3 linked regions of the Canis lupus familiaris genome follow. The protein of the gene in region 3 binds, or shares a complex with, the protein of the main gene of each other region. Links are inferred from orthologs where the notes say so. Each region holds a gene or a part of one and is shown on either strand. Other genes may lie near its edges.

Region 1 (5,654 bases), on a different chromosome or scaffold from region 3:
ACAGAGTGCAGTTTTTCCCCCCAAGCCTAACACACGCAAGTTTGGGGGAGAGCTGGGGCTGCTCACCGAGTTCTGGAACCCTCAGCTCCTCCAAGCCCCGAGCTGCGCCAGCCCCAGGCGCGACCTCGTAGGGCAGGCTCGGCCGGGAGGACCGCGCCCAGCATCCCCGCACTTGCCTCGTTCGGAGCCCCAAGCGCCTGCTTCCACCGCAACATCTTTCACGGGGGACCCCTCCCCGTGTCCCCAAACTCGGGCTCACTCACGCGGGGTGAAGCCCCAGGCCAGGGCTCCGCGTCTCGGGAAGAGGCGTCTGGACTCGGCCGGTCGGTGCGCGACCTCAGCCTCCCGGTGGTGCCGGTGACCTCGCCTCCCCCGGGGCCCCTTCCGGAGGCCTGCAGAATCCATGAAGTGAAAAAGAACTTTATTATTATTTAAAGAAAAAAAGAAAAAAGGCACAGAAAAAGAAGGCGTCCTGGGCAAAGAGGCCGCATTACGGTGATGGAGTGGCCGGGAACTTCGGGGATGCGGTGGGGGCCACTTCTCTCTTTCCTTTTTGGTAAACAAATCAGAGGAAACTTCTGTCCGGCCGTCGGCTCCCCCTCCCCCCGGCCCCCCTCCGCCCCGCCCCCTGCAAATGCCACTGATTAACTTAAGCTGGGCCGTGCGTGTGTGCCTGTGTGTCGCCGAGCGAGGAGCGAGGGGCGAGAGGCGAGTGCACCCCGGGCTTCGCGGGACGGTGGCGGGGCGCGCGGACCTGCCCCAAGCCGCAGGTGCCTGCCGTCCGCGCTCCCAGACGGGGCCCCCGTGGGTCCCAGGAAGGGAATGGGGCGGGTGTTGGCCTGGGGTCTCCCGGCCACTGTCCTGGCCGCGCGGCTTACCCATCTTTCAGCTGCAAGGGCGCCTTGGCAGGGCTGCGTCCGGCGGAAGGCGGGCGCTGGGTCCCCTCCGCGGGCCGCGCGCGCGTCCGGAGGCCCCACCGCTGCGTAGCAGGGGTCTCGAGGTGTCGCCGGTTTGCACTGCTGATCCGCACCGTGGGAACTCTATCGCAGGGCCTGACTTGAGGGCGACGCAGGACCTGTCTACTTTGCACCAGACCCTCCTGTGCATCCTTCTCTTTTTTTCTCTGTCTTCCGGGCGCCCTCCCTTCTTCTCCTCCTTTATCATTATCCTTTTTTACAGATTTTCAAATGTGGAGAGATGAAAGTATGCAGAACAGCAGCCCTGTCCATGCGGAGCTGAAGGTTTCAATTAATCCAGCAGATTGGAACGTAGGGAGCGGCGGGCTGTGGTTCCAGGGCGGCCGCTGCAGGGAGGCAGGCGCCCGGGGCTTCAGGGCGCGCGGCGAGGCTTTGCAGGTCGCAGCCGCGGGCCTGCTGAGCCAGGGCTGGCAGCCTCGGACCCCCCCGCAGGGCCGGAGCGGGTGTGCCCGTTTCCCTCCTCCGGGCGCGGGGGACACTTTGGGGTCTTGACTTCAGGAGGCTTTAAGGGGAGTTCCAGGTTGTTCCCTTTCTGCCTTTTCGCGTTTCCACCCTGATTTGCTGCCTGGGGCGGTTGTGAAAGAAGGCGTTCCACAGTGGTCAGTTTGAAATTCTTAACAACAGAAGTTGGAATTCTTTTTAAGTTTAAAAAAAAAAAAAAAAAAAAACAAAAAGAGAGAGAAGGAAGTGAAGTGCACGCTGGTGGAGTCCAAAAGATGTTTTATGTTCATTGCATAAAAATAGTTTTTCAGGGTGCCTAGGTGTTTTAAAAATATGTGTTTTTTATTTTATATTGTACCTGGGATGTTTGCCCACCAGTTAATTAACCAAAATGCTTTCTCACTGCAGGATTAAAACCTACCTAGTGAATTAATTAGCTATGTGTATACATTTCTTTTGTTTCAGTGTCTCAGTTTAAAATGGTGAATTACTCTTACGATGAAGATCTTGAAGAGCTCTGTCCGGTGTGTGGAGATAAAGTGTCTGGATACCATTATGGGCTCCTCACCTGTGAAAGCTGCAAGGTTTGCTTACACGTTGCTATGTGACAAATAGAAGGTTCAAAACCAAAATAAACCATTGGATTACTTTTTAGACCTAAATTTAGGCTGTCTTTTTTTGGACTCAATTAAAAATGAGAGAAAGAGTTAGTCTTAGGGAGATGATGTTTTGAAATATGTGTTTGATTTAATTCCAAAGGCAAAAAAAAAAAAATGTATGCTGTTTAGAAAACTTTGCCAGTCTCGTGGCTTTAAAATATTTTATGGTAGTAAAGTGATGTATCTGTAGAAAGACTTCTCTTTCTAACAGTCCTAAATATTGATTTTGCTTGACTTATATATATTTAAAGCACCGTTGTTCTTGAGAGGGAACATGACAAAGTATTTCCTAAATATATTTTAACTTCAGGGTATTCTGTGCTGCGAGTCTAAACATTTTTTATCCACAGATAAAAGTCTAAATTCTCAACCGTGTGATTTTTATCCTGATTTATTCCAAAAACAGTTTTTAAGATTTTTTGAAATTATATCATAAAGAATAAGAATCCACATCTCAGTTTATAGTAAGAGTGGCTTTCATAAATAAATTATATGACCTATTTAAATGCAAGAAGTTTTAACATGTAAAATGTACTTATATTGTTCATAATAATCTCAACCATAGATCAAGAATTTATCTTAGATCTTTTTGATATATTCCCAGTCAACTTGATACTTGGTATTTCTCAACATTTTTTAAAGTAGAAAGCTCAATTACAAATACTTAAACCATCGCCAGGAAAAATCCCTTCATTCTCTGTAACAAAGTAAGATCGTTTCACTTTATGGCTAGTAGGATAAACATAAAGAATGTACCATCCTGGTAAAGCTGTTATTGTATTATGAAGCTAACAAAATTTGTTTTTGATAAATTCTTTTGGGTGCAATACAAGAAAAGCACACTGCTAAAATTTAGCTCTCTGCTACACATGCTTTTCTTTGCCATTAGTTTCAACTTTTTTTTTTTTTTTACAGAGTTACAACTTGAATGTATTCCAATGGAATTATGAACACTTTCCCATTTTACTCTTTAAATCTTTTTGCTTTTAACATATCTAGTGCTGACATTTGTAAAAAAAAAAAAAAAAAAAAAAAAATCTGGGGTGTTTTGCTATTCAGATTTTCCACTGGCATTTTACAATGGTTTGCCACTAAAATTCTATCACACTGCTTACAAACAGTACAGATCTCCATGAGCAACTTTCTGGAATATGAAGTTAATAAGAAAACAGATTTAAAAAGATACTGGTTAATATAGAATGTGTTTTTCTCTGACTGTTGAGATGAAATGGTATGTATCCAAATCTTCCTAAGATTTGTTGTAATTCTAGGAATATAACTCCAGTACTAGAAAAATCTCCACTTTGGCCCAGTGCTGTTTTGGAGGGTTGGTCTTGTTAAAGTGTAAGACAAACCACAGAGCCACGGAAGGGCTCATTGGTTCAATGAAAAGATTTATTGGTGATTTCCTTAAAATGAAACAATGGAAGAGACGGTGTTAGATTTATAATATGTCTCACTATTTTCTCTGTTTTGTAGGGATTTTTTAAGCGAACAGTCCAAAATAATAAAAGGTACACATGTATAGAAAACCAGAACTGCCAAATTGATAAAACACAGAGAAAGCGTTGTCCTTACTGTCGATTTCAAAAATGTCTAAGTGTTGGAATGAAACTAGAAGGTAAGTTTCTTCCAAAGACTACTGCCTGTTAAAATTCTCCAAGGACATAGGATTTAAAATAACATTGTACTTCCAATATGGTAACATTATTTTCCTAGTCTTTTAACACCATGGACAATAATGTAAGATATTTTTTTATGTTTTGTCAGCAGAACAGTCTGAGGATCATTTAAACACTGGTGAAGTCTACTAGGAAAAAAACTTATAAATATTGGAGTTTCCCTTCCCCCACCTTTAAAAAATTTTTAGTTTGGGGAGCAGATGGATTTGACACTAAAAAGGCCTGGTTAGGGATCCCTGGGTGGCTCAGCGGTTGAGCGCCTGCCTTCGGCCCAGGGTGTGATCCTGGAGTCCCAGGATCGAGTCCCACATCGGTCTCCCTGCATGTAGCCTGCTTCTCCGCCTCTCTCTGTCTCTCTGTGTCTTTCATGAATAAATGAATAAAATCTTTAAAAAAATAAAAAGGCCTGGTTAGATAAAAACAAGACTAAAGCTATTCAACTGAGAACAAATTTTTAAAATTTGCAAAACTTAAAAAAAAATACGTGACGTTTTCAAACCAAGGATGTTCTAGTAAAAAATCTAGTAGAAGTCTGATTTTAATCCTTTAAATTCTTCCCTTGTCACAATTGTTACTATTAATTTCATGACTCCTGGGCAAGAATTACAGCCTTTCATTGTGAAATGGAGTCTCTTGTGTGGAGAGTATCATTTTTGATAATGTGGGAAAACACGTTTCTTTTATTTTTTTTTTTTAAGATAATGACGAAAGCTGCAAAATGAAGTTGAAAAGTAGGAAACATGAAAAATAATGAGCTATTAAATCAGTAACATTGGTTTGACAGGAATAAGATAGTGGTTCCCCAAAAGCCATGTTAAATTTTATGTTGTGAGAGTAGAACTGGTACTTACAATGTACAGATTGGCAGGGAGTAAAGTTATTATGTGATCACTGTAAATAATCTGTAGTTCATGGACTATTATGGTGTGTTGCTGTTTTTTAGCCTCCAGCCTACTGACTTTCCACAGATCAACTCTAGTGCAAATAAAAAATAATCAAGGATACACATCACTTATTTGCCACATACAAGCGTGCATTTTATTTGATCATTGAGGCACAGGCTATTTTTGTTTGGAGCCTTCCTGTTATGTGGCTCTCAGACTTGATAGAAATGCTCAAAAGATTTCCGGCAAATCTGCCGAAGTGCTTGTAGATTCTTTCCCAATATAAGTAGCCACTTTGGTTATGATTAGAACTGTTAACTCTGTCTTGCTTTAGGAAGAGATTGAGAACAAGATCAAGAAAGAAATGCTCATTAATTTCTTTATTACCAATCACTTTATTATTTTCCAAACAGCCAAATATTGTGGGAGATGCATACTATAGTAGGAGACTCAAAAGGTAAAATGTCAAAGAATAAATATGGGATGCCTGGATGCCTCAGTGGGTAGAGCATGGGTCTCTTGATCTCACCGAGTTGTGAGTTCAAGCCCCACACTGGGCAGGGAGCCTACTGAAAAAAACAACACACACACAAGTAAATGTTGTGGTTTCAAATGGTGTCTCACTTGATTATTTCTTCTTCTTCTTCTTCTTCTTCTTCTTCTTCTTTTTTTAATGAGGGGAAAGGGTTGCATTTCTTTACCTTAAAAAGTATTAGTAATTGTAAGTCACTTGTGGGGCATAACTATAAACTATACTTCCTTAGCAGTAATATGGAACAGTTGAATATTCAATAAATTATCATCCAGATGAAAAACTTGCACAATATTCTAGATACCTAGCATTCACAATAAATTTTTAATAATATACTAATCCTAAGATAAAAAGCACAAAAACTTAACCTCCAGCAATTTCAACACATCAGAAGCTGTCAGAAGTCACTGTTTTCTTTCTAATTGCCATTGGCCACTATGGGCTTGGAGACAACTGCTAACTCACTTATTAGACATGGT
Region 2 (5,654 bases), on a different chromosome or scaffold from region 3:
CACCGGGCCTTCTCCTCCTCCCCTCGTGGACTCAGCCTCACTAGAGTTAGTTTCTGACCTGCTGGCTGGGCGCTCCCCCACCCACCTCAGCCAGACCCACAGCCCTGTGACAAGGCACTGTGCCAGACACAGCAGCCATAGACATGGAGACTGACAGGTTCATTCATTCACTTCATTCATTCATTTGCTCACTGATCGTAATGAGGGTTAGAAGGAAAACAATACCGATGTACATTCCAAGAGGCCAGGCCCCACACTGACACCGGGGGGATTCCCTCATGAAATCCTCATAGCAAACTAAGGATTATTTTGATGATCATCTTCCAGATGGGAAAATAGAGGCTCTTGGAGAGAGGGGAGGGACTTGCTCTAGGACACACAGTCCAGATTTAGAATCCAGGTGGTCCATCCCTAGTCCGCATTCCTGACTACTGTTCCGCCCTGCCTCGCAGGTGTACACACATGCATACATACATGCTCACTCTCCCTCCTGCATCCCACCCTCCAGCCTATGCCAGCCAAGCACTGGAGATAGCCCCTGCCTCAGGCCCCCAGCTGCCCACTCTGGAGAACATAATGAAGACTAGTGAGAAGGAGGGGCCGGCACTCAGGCTTTTGAGCGTGGCCACTCACCCTGGCCAGACCGGGAGAAGAGGGCCGGGCTCTGCTTTGCCGTCCTTACACTCCATACAAGGAGGAGCCCTGGATTTATGGCCTGGTGAGGGCCAGAGGTGTGCTGACCCTGGCAGTCCCCAGCACCCGGGACCCTGTTGGGAAGAGAGGCGGGGGCTGCAGGGGTATGCCTCGGGCCCTAGGGGGGTCTGGAAAGCCAAGACCTGGCACCCGCTTCACAGGGAGGCCTGGCCAAGAAGACTGGTGGCTGGCAGCCCACCATCCACCCACCCCTCCTCTAGACCTCCTGAAGGCCTCTTGATGGTGGTCGGGTCAAGAACTATTGCTTCACACATCACCCAGACCACCACAGACACCACACTCCTAATTCTATACGCGCTCCAAATCTCTCCTATCTCCAAATCTCCTCTAACTCTCCGATTACAGATCCTTTATACAACACGATGTGTAAGAAGCCGCCAGCCCATGAGAGTTCATAGCCTGCACGTGCGTGAAAACAAAGGCACCGACGCAAAGGCACAAAGATTCACAGAACTCCTGGAGTCTCCACACCCCAAACCGCACACAACCACTGGCCAAAGCCAGTTCCCAGAGCTTGGCAGCTCACAAAGACCAGGGGAGCCACCAGAGGCCAGAAGGAACGGCATCTCCCCCAGCTGCAGCCAGCCTGGCCCGGGCCCCCGAGGCCCCTCCACAGGCTCCAGGCCACCGCTCCTAACTGGCTGCCCTGGATTCTGCCCCCGCCCCGCACCATGGTTGTCCCCTACCAAGCCCTGCAGCCTTGCACAGAAGCCCTCCAGCTACCAGGCTGCGGGGCCAGAGTCAGGAGACCAGCCCCTGTGGCCATAGCCCGAGGACTGGGCTTCCCACAAGCCACACTTCATCAGTTACCCCTCTCTGCCCAGCTCTCCCCACCCTTGGGCAGGCACTCCCTTGCCAGACTGGGGCTATGATGTCAGCAGCCACCAAGATGACATCTGAATCCTGCCCCCTGTTCTGACCTTCCATCCCATCCGCACTTCTGCTGGAAGATATATCCCTCCCGCAAACTCCTACTCCTCTTCCAAGACCCCATTCAAAATTCCCTCTTCCAGGAAGCCTTCCAGGCAGAGCCCTTGCTCCCCACTCTGGGTTCCCCATCTCTCTGTCCCCGCCCCTGATGAAGGCCTCTACTGGGCTGGGAGCCACCTGACAGCAGGGGCTCGTCTGTGTTCACAGCGTTGCTGGACACAGCCAGGAGGCACCGGAGGTGGCTTGCTAGGTGAGGGAGGACAGGAGGCCGGCCGGGGAGAGCCCCGAGGAGGGTGGAGGCTGCGGGGTCAGGAGGGCAATGAGAGGGAGACCCCCGGCTCGGGGGCTGCCACCTCCCTGGGTTACTTTCCTCTTTAGCACTCATCACAGGATTCTAGGCCATGCGTGTCGGTAATCATTTCATCCATCTCTATAGCCGACTAATGACATCATGCTTGTCTTTCTCCTGAGAGAAGGTCAGCTCCATGACAATCCAGGTGTGGGACTTATCCTGTTTGCCTTGTGTCTCTAGGGCCTTGCAGAGCACAGATGCTCAGTAAGAGGTTGTAGAGTGAATACATGAGTGAGTGAACAAATGAATGGGTAAAGGTTCTGGGCCCCCCCCCACCATCTCCTCAAGCAGGGAACCGGGAAAACAAGGCCCCCAGGATAGGAGCCAGGGAACAGAGAGCCTGAAACCCCACAGGTGTCTGTCTAGAGGTGGCCTGGGCGCTCTTTTAGGGCTTCCAGCCAGGAATTGACCAAATTATCAGGAGTCCTTGTCCCACAAAGGGCAAATCTTAGGCACTGTCTTGGTCGTCTGTACTCCCAAACCGAGAAACTGAGGCCCCGAGAGGAAACAGCTTCCATTTGAAGAGCCAGGCCTGGGCCAGGTCCCTTTAGACCCTTACTCATCGTAGGAGGGGTCCCTGCGCCACCAAAGCCCCCACCCTAGGGCAGAACCTCACGTCAGCCTCTGGGTGCCGGGCCCGCCACCCACCTTGCCCCCTCGCCGCCCCAGGCCGGGCCAGGCCCACTCACCGAGGCTGAAGAGGATGAGGAATTTGAGGCAGACAAACTCCTGGCGGTCCAGCTGCAGAGCGTGCAGCTGCAGCACCAGCTCCTGCGCCCGCAGGACCAGGCTGTGCAGCAGGGAGCCCGCCTGGGCCGCCACCGTGCTCATCTCCACCTGCACAGGCGGATGTCAGGGTCAGGGAGCACCCAGCAGAGGGCCCGGAGTGGGGGGGTCAGGGGCTGGGGGTTGGGGTGCCCATCCTTGGAGCTGCGCCAGATGGGGGCAGCATCTCCTCACACCCCAGAAACCCTCCAAACCCCACAGCATGGGCCCCACATGCTCAGAGCTCCTTATGCTCGGTGGTACAAGTGGCTTTTGCATTTTGTGTGGTACAGGGAGCAAACACCACGTCATGCTGGGTGTTGTGGAGCAGGGTCGGGGCAGGTGTGCCTGGACATACATGGACACAGCCACATGACTGCCCAGGTCCCCACACACCCACACGTGGACACTCAGACTGAGGATGCGGTCACACCTCGGCTCACATTCACACACACTCATAGGGCAGTCCACCCATTTCATAACGTGAACGCACGTACACACACGCCCTCATATGGTCATATCACAAGGTAATGGGACAGGCACCCATGTATGAGTTCCCACACAAGGTGGCAGGGAGATCTCACCACCACACACTTACAATGTGTGGAGATATCTGTACAATAAAATACAGGTATGCACGTGCACACACACACACACACACACACACAGGACATCCCCATGGTCTCGGAGACTCCAGCCTGCGTGATGACATAGGCCAATACCAACACGCTTTCATACCTCAGGCTCTCCTATCTGCATTCACAGGTGGTCTCCAAGTCACACCCTGGAGACCAGCAGTCCCCTGCCCTGGATGTCCTGAGACCCCCAAGATAAGAACTGAGCATGAGGACCAAGGGCCCGGGTTGGAGACGGGATGGGGAGCAGGGCCTCGGCCTCCAACCTCCACCCCCACAGGGCCTGCCAACCACTCTTCCTCGTGACTCCCCCTTGGGAGCGATGCTCCTTCCACCAGCCTCGACCCTGGCATCAGCCTCTTCTTTTTCTCCCTCCTCCCCTCCATGTCTCCCACACCTCCTCCCACCAGTTGGGGGTCCTTCTCCCAGGTTCCCAGCATTCCACCGTGGCCTTGACTTCTTCACCCCCCATTTTGCCCCCATGGTGTGCTTCCTCAAGTACAACCTGAGTGAGCCTTTCCTCACTTAAAGCTACTGTTGCTCCCTGCTTGATCCCAGGAGTTCCCAGCTCGTATCCTAGTGCCCCAAATTCCCTGCTGGGGGGTGCAAATTCCTTCACTTGCTCCTTTATTCATTCAGGATTTAGGGCCTACCTCCAGCCTTCCTTCTTACCTCACAGGGCTCCTGGCCCCCCAAATCTACATATTAGTGCCCATGTACCAGCAGCCCCTGGTGCTGTCCTAAACACCCTGTGCACCTTCACCCATGTTGTCCCCTCTGCTCTGGTGGGGTGGAACTGCCCCCCCCCTTTTACTACCTTTTACTACCTGACCAACTCCTATTTGTTCTTTCAAGACCCCCCACCTTCTTCAAGAGCCTCACTGACCCTCCCCACATCCCTAAGCTGCTTCCCAGGGGCTGGTTCCTGTCAAGGCCAGGAACTCAGCTGGTCAGAGGGAGGTCAGGCAATTGAGGAAGGGCTGAGCCAGCCCCCAATTCTGGGCTCAGAATTCTGGAAATATGCTTTAGGACAAGGCACAGGGCACAATAGGGTCTGGTCACCTCCTGCCCGGTGACCAGCAGGATGCTGCCATCCTTGCCATGTTGGATCTGGCGGTAGATGTGGTCAAACACCAGCAGCTCACTCCAGCAGTTCTGCAGCAGTGTCATCTGGTCAGCCACCTGGAGGGAAGAGGCATGTGTGGGTCCGGGATCCAGCCAGGTCCGTCCCTCTCCCAACTCACGATTCAGAGGCTCACTTGGATATGTGACCTGAGCAAGCCACTTCACCTCCTTTTGTTTTTTTTAATTTATGATAGGCACAGAGAGAGAGAGAGAGAGAGAGAGAGGCAGAGACACAGGCAGAGGGAGAAGCAGGCTCCACGCACCGGGAGCCCGACGTGGGATTCGATCCCGGGTCTCCAGGATCGCGCCCTGGGCCAAAGGCAGGCGCCAAACCGCTGCGCCACCCAGGGATCCCACCACTTCACCTCTTGATGCCCTTTTTGCCTATCTGCCTACTTTGTCAAAGTGTAGCAGAGATCAAGTAAATAAATAGATAGATAGAAAGAAAAGATCCAGTGGAAGTGCTCAGAACTCAGCCAGGCTTGGCTTCGGGCCCTCGCTCTCCTCCGACAAGCTGTGTGACCTGAAGCAATTTCTAAAGCCTTCTGAGCCTCGGTTTTCTCCTCTGTGGAGGGGGCAAAGCATCAGAAGGGGGTTTGGCACATACTGAGCACTTGATAAATATTAGTGGATAATGTTCATGGAAGTAGTTTGTGAAGAACTCCTTTAAATGTGAGGGAAGAGGGATCCCTGGGTGGCGCAGCGGTTTGGAGCCTGCCTTTGGCCCAGGACGCGATCCTGGAGACCCGGGATCGAATCCCACGTCGGGCTCCCGGTGCATGGAGCCTGCTTCTCCCTCTGCCTGTGTCTCTGCCTCTCTCTCTCTCTCTCTGTAACTATCATAAATTAAAAAAAAAAATTAAATGTGAGGGAAGATTATTATTAATTTTAATCTTATGCTCATTTGGCCTGTAGTCACATCTCCAGCAGCCTCAATAGCTCAAAAAACAAGTCATGAAGAGCAAACACAGGGCTTCCCCTGGGCCTTATACAGAGCTTTCAGGCTCATGGAAAGAAAGGAGGGCCCTCCTGGCCTGTGGTCCAACCCAGAATGAGCAGGTGGCTGGCAATGGTTCGTCTGAAGCAGAAACAAAACAAAGAAAGAGGCGGGTTCTGAATACCCAGGCTGTAGT
Region 3 (5,959 bases):
GCTCTGGGGCTGTCTCTGCTGTCATGTGTTTGGGTCTACTGTATGTCACCGAGTGTGTCTTGGCTGTGCATTTCCATGCTGTGTGTGGGTAGATGGTGGGTCTGTTTTAAGGGTCTGTGTAGGTATCTCTGATTTGTATATGTTAGTGTGCATGTGTGTAAGAGTTGTAGGTCTGAGTTGTGTGTCTTTGTTGTGGGGTGTGAGCTGTATGTTTCTGTCACTCTGGGTGTCTGAGTGGTGAGCAGGTGATTGGTTAAGGGACAGGGTTGCCCTTTCTGCTGGCACTGGGTGCCCATAATGGGCATATGGCTGGTTCAACTGTGGTCCTATCCTGGGGGCCTTCGGGAGAGGCCTGAATGGCAGCTCTTCAACTGTTGTTCCTGAGCGAATGACCTCTCATTAAGCAATAATTAACTTGGCCCCATGAAGAGAATCCAAACTGATGGCAAAGGGGGTGGGACTGGTAAGGACAAGCCTTATTGCTAAAGGAAGGGGGAGGCTTGCTGGGGGATCCTATAGGCATGTGTGTCGTTATCATTCCCTGCTGCTTACAGGTCAGTCACCCGAACCTGTGTGATATTCAAAATATTTAACAAACAGTGAGCCACAGACATTGACCAATCAGAACAGACACCAGCCATGCTCTGAATGGAGCAGTGCTGGAGGCCATGGCTATACCAGCCATCACCTCTCTAGGTGTTGGCCAATGAGGATGGATTCCAGGTGAAGGGCCGGGACAGAGAGGCCATGGGAGGGGACTTGGGGGGACTCAGGGCAGTCGCTGTGAACCAACTACCATGGAAGAGTCTCAGACTCTTAACAGCCATTGTGGTAGCTAGACCTCAGTGGGCCTTGGGCTCCAGGCAGCTGTGTGGGGCCAGCCCTGGGTTCCCTTGCCCCTCCCATTGGGACAGCAGTGGACTGTCTTCTACTGTCATCTGCAGGAATGGGCAAGTGAATGATCCCAAACTGCAGAAATTCCCGTGACCTTGACCTTGCCTGTTTAAATTTGAGAATGGGCTGCTTCATATTCCTTACTGGCTGTGATCTGACTTTTGTTGAGGTGAGAGGGAGCCTGTATGGCTCAGAAGCCAAGAGAGGGGTTAGCGATCCCCACAAGGGGATCAAGAAGAGACACTCTCAGCCCTAAAGATAAAGGCAAGGAAGTAAGGGGGCCTGAACTGATCCTAGTCCCTGTGCAAAATAAATCTCATCCCTCAAGATGAAATAATCATCCTGCCCTGAAAAATTAATATCCCAGTTCCCTGAGGGCTGGCTCCAGCACTCCTTATGATTCCTTCCTCCTGAACTCCTGATAGTGGCAGAGTGGGCCCTGGAGGTGGGACAGTCCCTTCCATGTACAAATTACAGTGTCAGGCTCCAAGGGTATCATGCCTTTTATTACAAAAACCAATAACTTAAATCATTTCTGTACAAAGTCAGTAGGACTTGTCCCATTGAGCAACCTAACTGCCATCCCCATCTCAGAAGGGGTCAGGAGTCTTAGCCCAGAAGCCAGAGGACCACTCCAGTTCCAGACAGCTGGAGCGCCATGTCAAACCAAGAAAGGCCAGTGGGGGCCGTGTGGTGAGTGAGGTGGGGGGTGCCCCTAGCCCATCTCTCTGGGGCAGGACAGGCTTGTTCCAGGGAGGCTGAGTGCTGCCTGTACAAACTTGCTCCCTCTGGGGGCAACAGGTAGCCCTGGGGACAGCTGGGCCAAATCAGTGCTGCCAGCCTTTGCCCAACCTCCACTTGATCTCTGCCTGGGCTGGAACAGGTTGGCTCAACAAAAGCATGTCCTCAAGGAGGCCAGCGATGTCAATGTCTCCAACAATAGGGCGGAAGAAGAGGTCCCCAAGGAGGCTGGGCGGGATGGACTTGAGGGTGGAGGCTGTGAGGAGGACACGGGCCAAGCGGCCTTGGCCTGCTGGGCACCAGGGCTCCAGGGCCTCACATAGCGCATGATGAGCCTCTTCCTGCAGGTGTCCGATGTGGGAGGAGGCGTGGAGGCCTGGCAAGCCTGTGGGCAGAGAGGGTGAAGAGGGCGGGTGAGTACCCCACTCCCAGGCAGCAATATTGGCCCAAGACCGGAGGTCACTGGCTTGGCCTTTGAGGCCCCATTACTACCTCCTCCATTTATGTGTTTATCACTTTATTTATCCATCCATTTATGGGGCAGCCCAGAGTAATGGTTAAGAGCCAGGCAGCCCGGGTTTGAATCCCATGCTGTCACTCACTGGCTGTATGACCTCAGATATGTTAATATCTGTGCCTCAGTTTTCTCATCTGTAAAATGGGGATAATAATACCTATCTCCTAGGCATGTTATGAAGTTTAAGTCAGCTAGTATATTCAAAACCCTTATAATTGGGCCTAATATATGGTAAATGTAATATGAATATTCATTACTATCACTATAATTAATTACCATCATTTATGCATTCTACGAGGGCTTTTTGATGAGGAATTCTCATCTCACATTTTCATTCTTCTCCATGGGGTCTTTCTGAACCCACAGGGTTTTACCTGTGACAGAGGCAGAGTTGTGTCTGCTCACCTTCCCTGACAGTCAGGGCAAGTTTCTTAGGCAGAGTGGCATGGACCAGTCTCTGGAGGGAATAAACCTGAGTTCCCATCCCTGCTTTGCCCCTACCGAGGCTGTGTGACCTTCAGCAAAACACTTAACCTCTCTGGGAGGTGACTTTTGGGGATAATGAGGACCCAAAGAGAAAACGGGTGTCAAGCCCTTAGAAGATGCCTTCCCTGCCTGGGTCCCCATCCAGGAATGTCTGGAAGCTCACCAGGATTGAAGAGGATGGTCTCTTTCAGGTAGGCGTATTCCTTGGGGCCCAGCTCCAGGCTCCAGAAGGACTCCAGGCAGCACTGAAGCCACTGTACGGCAGCCAGTGAGGGCTGGGGCCGATCGGGCAGCTGGCCGCTGTGTGCACCACTACTGGGCTCCTCCAGCAAGATCTTCTTGAGTATGCTGGGAACCGGCGCCTCAGCCACCTCGAAAGTCACAGTGTCTTGGGCCAACCCCAGCAGGAAGAGGGGGCCCCAGCAGACCCGCAGCAGCAGCTGCTGATCTTGAGGGGGCAGCTGGCAGAAGGACGGCAGGTTCTTGAGGAAGACTACTGTCCTGGCCAGAACATCCAAGGCCTCCCGGCAGGTGCGATGCGGGGCACACAGCCGGACGGGCCGGTGCTGTCTGCACAAGCAGCGACTCTGAACCGGGGGCACTGGGGGCCTGGCCGTGAGGCTGGGGCTCAGAAGTGCATAGAGAATGGCTGGGCGGCCTGCAGCACCCTGACACGGGCAGGTCCCTGGCTGGCTGGAGCTCATGGTTGGGGATCTGCTCCTTCTTCCTCCCAGCTCTCCCGCTTCTGCCCTCTGCTGTGTGCTGGGTGCTATTTATATTCCCCCAGTGGGAGGGACGGTGGGTGGGGGCAGGAGGGACGGCCTGACAACCTTGACTCCAGAAGTCATGTTCATTGAAAAAAAAAAACACGCACTGACCCTGCAGGATTGGTGGGGAAGTGGCGGGGGAGGGGGCTTTGGGAGTTCCACGTGGCCCTGATATCACTTCAGTCAATGAAGCAGCCTGTGCAGGGCACAAGGCTGCCTGCCCGCTGGCCCGGCTGCCCCTTATCAGATGACTCAAGTGGATAAACAGGGTCATTAACCCAGGCTGTACCGAGGCACCAAGGCCTCAGGTGCACAATCAGCAGGTGGCCATTGCAGGTGTCCCTATTGGTGCCTGCAAGACTGGCGCTAAGCTGGGAGGCCAGCCCCGGAGCTGGACGAGCCTTGAATGCAAGGCCCAACCTGGAAGTGCCTTATCAGGGACTTGTTTGCCTAACCTTGGGGCTCTGCTCCTGTTGTTGGTAAGGAACAGGCTGCGGGAACGGAGCCAGGACCCTGGGGGGCTGGAAGGACTTTGCCCACTGTGCAGGCCAGGAGGCCTCCCTCTCCCGACTCAGTTCTGGGGCCCCTCCAGAAATAAGGTACCTAAGAACTTCTCTCTCCTTAGCCTGGATTTCTAAAGTTCCCAAAAGGCTGTCTCTGCTGAGAAGCCCTCACAGAATGAGAATAAAGTTTGGCTGCTATTTATTGAGCACCTACTGTGTGCTAGGCACTTTCCATTCTAATACTCAGAGCTTCCCCATGAGGCAAAATTCTTACTTTTTGAAACTGAAAGAGGTGAAGTGACTTGCCCAAGGTCATGTTAAGTTTTTTAGTAACTAGATGGAAATGAGACCGCCAAGGCAAGCGAGGGTCCAAGAACAGATTTTATTGCAGGCACCCTCGGGCGAGGTTCCACGACTCACGGGGGAAAGAGAGTGAGTCGAGGAAGTCGCGCCAAGACAAGGTGGTAGGGGGTTTACATAACGTTGTAAGGCAGAACGGTTTCCTATTGGTTGGCTCATATGCAAAGGAAGGATTGCAATCCAACCAGTCAGAGTGACCCTCACTATGCAAAGGAAGGATTGCAATTCGACCAGTCAAAGGTGACTTCCTCCTCTGGGGTTTGAAGGGCATTGGGTTCGGTTGGGGAAGTCCAAAGGAGAGGTGTAAGGGTCTGCTCAAGCTGTCAGCAGGTCATTGGTCCATTGGCGTCCCAAGTGGAGGTGGTGACAGGAACCCCAGCCATTTTGGCGTATCCGCCATCTTGAGGAGTTTCCCTTCCCGCCTGGCCCCAACAGGTCACACCAGTAAGAGGAGACAGAGCCCAGATCTGTCTGACTCTAAAGTCCTTACTTGCTCCCCTGGACCCACTCTCCTGATGGTGCAGTCCCAAGCTGTGTGACCTGTTTCCCAGAGCTGGTGGCTACCTGGGTCCCCACCTTGCAGCTGCCTGGTCAACAATGTTGCCTACTTACGATCTGGGTAGAAATGTTGCGCTGCCGCCAGCCACATGGCAACTCTGTCCTGGGCATCTGTCTCAGGATGGTGGGGCACGGGGTGTGAGAGAGGGTGGGAAGGTCCTGGGCTGTGCCATGTCCATGAACCTTGGCAAACCCAGCTTGGCAAGCCTTCTGCCAGCACACTATTGGGCAGCCGTCACCATCCCTGGCACTTGCTCCTGGCTCTATCATTTTCCAGTTGTGTGACCTTGGGCTGATCCCTGTAGGCCTCAGGAGCTTCATCTGGGAATCTGGGACAATAAAAAAGTGAAGTCCTGGATGTGAAATTCCAAGCAGTTTCTGGCATACAGTAGGAGGACTTTGCTCCTCCCTTTCCTCTGCCTGAGGAACCTAAACTCCAGCAGACAAGTGTGCATTTTTATTCTAATTGTGAATAATCTTAATCCCCACATTTGTAAAGTTCTTTTCATCTCACCGAGTCCTCAGTGCCCCTCCCCTGGAAGGGGACTCTGGAGTCAAACTTCCTGGCTTCAAATCCTGCTTCATCCGGGCAGCCGGGGGGGCTCAGTGGTTTAGTGCTGCTTTCAGCCCAGGACCTGATCCTGGAGACCAGCGATCGAGTCCCACGTCAGGCTCCCTGCATGGAGCCTGCTTTTCCCTCTGCCTGTGTCTCTGCCTCTCTTTCTCTCTCTCTCTCTCTCTGTGTCTCTCTCATGAATAAATAAATAAAATCTTAAAAAAACAAAAAACAAATCCTGCTTCATCACTTAGTGACATTGGGTGAGTCACTTTATATTTCTGTGTCTCAGTTTCCTCATCTTTAAAGGGTACAAGAAAGGCCAATAGTGGATAATGGCTTTATGGGGACTGAAGCCTATAAAATTTGGAGGTCCCTCTTTAGGAATAGAAAACCAGGTATGAAAGTGAATATTTAAATTGAGAAAACAGGGATCCCTGGGTGGCGCAGCGGTTTGGCGCCTGCCTTTGGCCCAGGGCGCGATCCTGGAGACCCGGGATCGAATCCCACGTCGGGCTACCGGTGCATGGAGCCTGCTTCTCCCTCTGCCTATGTCTCTGCCTCTCTCTTTCTCTCT

The links. The genes of interacting proteins can lie anywhere in the genome.
Region 1: the proteins of NR0B2 (region 3) and NR5A2 are in contact, whole or in part, in a crystal structure (PDB 1YUC), measured with the Homo sapiens proteins. The link is inferred for Canis lupus familiaris from reciprocal best matches to the Homo sapiens genes NR0B2 and NR5A2. Residues at the interface, in NP_068804.1 of Homo sapiens: Arg17, Pro18, Ala19, Ile20, Leu21, Tyr22, Leu24, Leu25, Ser26, Ser27, Ser28; in NP_995582.1 of Homo sapiens: Phe354, Val357, Arg361, Phe366, Val371, Asp372, Gln374, Met375, Leu378, Gln379, Asn529, Asn530, Leu531, Glu534, Met535.
Region 2: the proteins of NR0B2 (region 3) and NR5A1 are in contact, whole or in part, in a crystal structure (PDB 1YMT), measured with the Mus musculus proteins. The link is inferred for Canis lupus familiaris from reciprocal best matches to the Homo sapiens genes NR0B2 and NR5A1. Residues at the interface, in NP_035980.1 of Mus musculus: Thr19, Ile20, Leu21, Tyr22, Leu24, Leu25, Ser26; in NP_001303616.1 of Mus musculus: Ile275, Val278, Arg282, Phe287, Val292, Gln295, Met296, Leu299, Gln300, Asn450, Leu452, Glu455, Met456.

Annotation. Positions count from the first base shown.
Region 1 is NC_049228.1:2,806,303-2,811,956, reverse strand, and holds part of NR5A2 (nuclear receptor subfamily 5 group A member 2), read left to right. Parts: intron 1-666; exon of another isoform or gene 667-770; intron 771-1,883; coding exon 1,884-2,002; intron 2,003-3,556; coding exon 3,557-3,698; intron 3,699-5,654. UniProt on the Homo sapiens protein: Orphan nuclear receptor that binds DNA as a monomer to the 5'-TCAAGGCCA-3' sequence and controls expression of target genes: regulates key biological processes, such as early embryonic development, cholesterol and bile acid synthesis pathways, as well as liver and pancreas morphogenesis.
Region 2 is NC_049230.1:58,557,852-58,563,505, reverse strand, and holds part of NR5A1 (steroidogenic factor 1), read right to left. Parts: intron 4,579-5,654; coding exon 4,459-4,578; intron 2,847-4,458; exon of another isoform or gene 2,834-2,846; coding exon 2,686-2,833; exon of another isoform or gene 1,113-2,685; coding exon of another isoform or gene 1,060-1,112; intron 719-1,059; coding exon of another isoform or gene 509-718; intron 1-508. Other genes in the region: uncharacterized protein LOC102151918, read left to right, coding at 509-718, 1,060-1,112. UniProt on the Homo sapiens protein: Transcriptional activator. Essential for sexual differentiation and formation of the primary steroidogenic tissues. Binds to the Ad4 site found in the promoter region of steroidogenic P450 genes such as CYP11A, CYP11B and CYP21B.
Region 3 is NC_049223.1:72,629,346-72,635,304, reverse strand, and holds NR0B2 (nuclear receptor subfamily 0 group B member 2), read right to left. Parts: upstream 3,405-5,959; 5' UTR 3,343-3,404; coding exon 2,802-3,342; intron 2,021-2,801; coding exon 1,722-2,020; 3' UTR 1,380-1,721; downstream 1-1,379. UniProt on the Homo sapiens protein: Transcriptional regulator that acts as a negative regulator of receptor-dependent signaling pathways. Specifically inhibits transactivation of the nuclear receptor with which it interacts.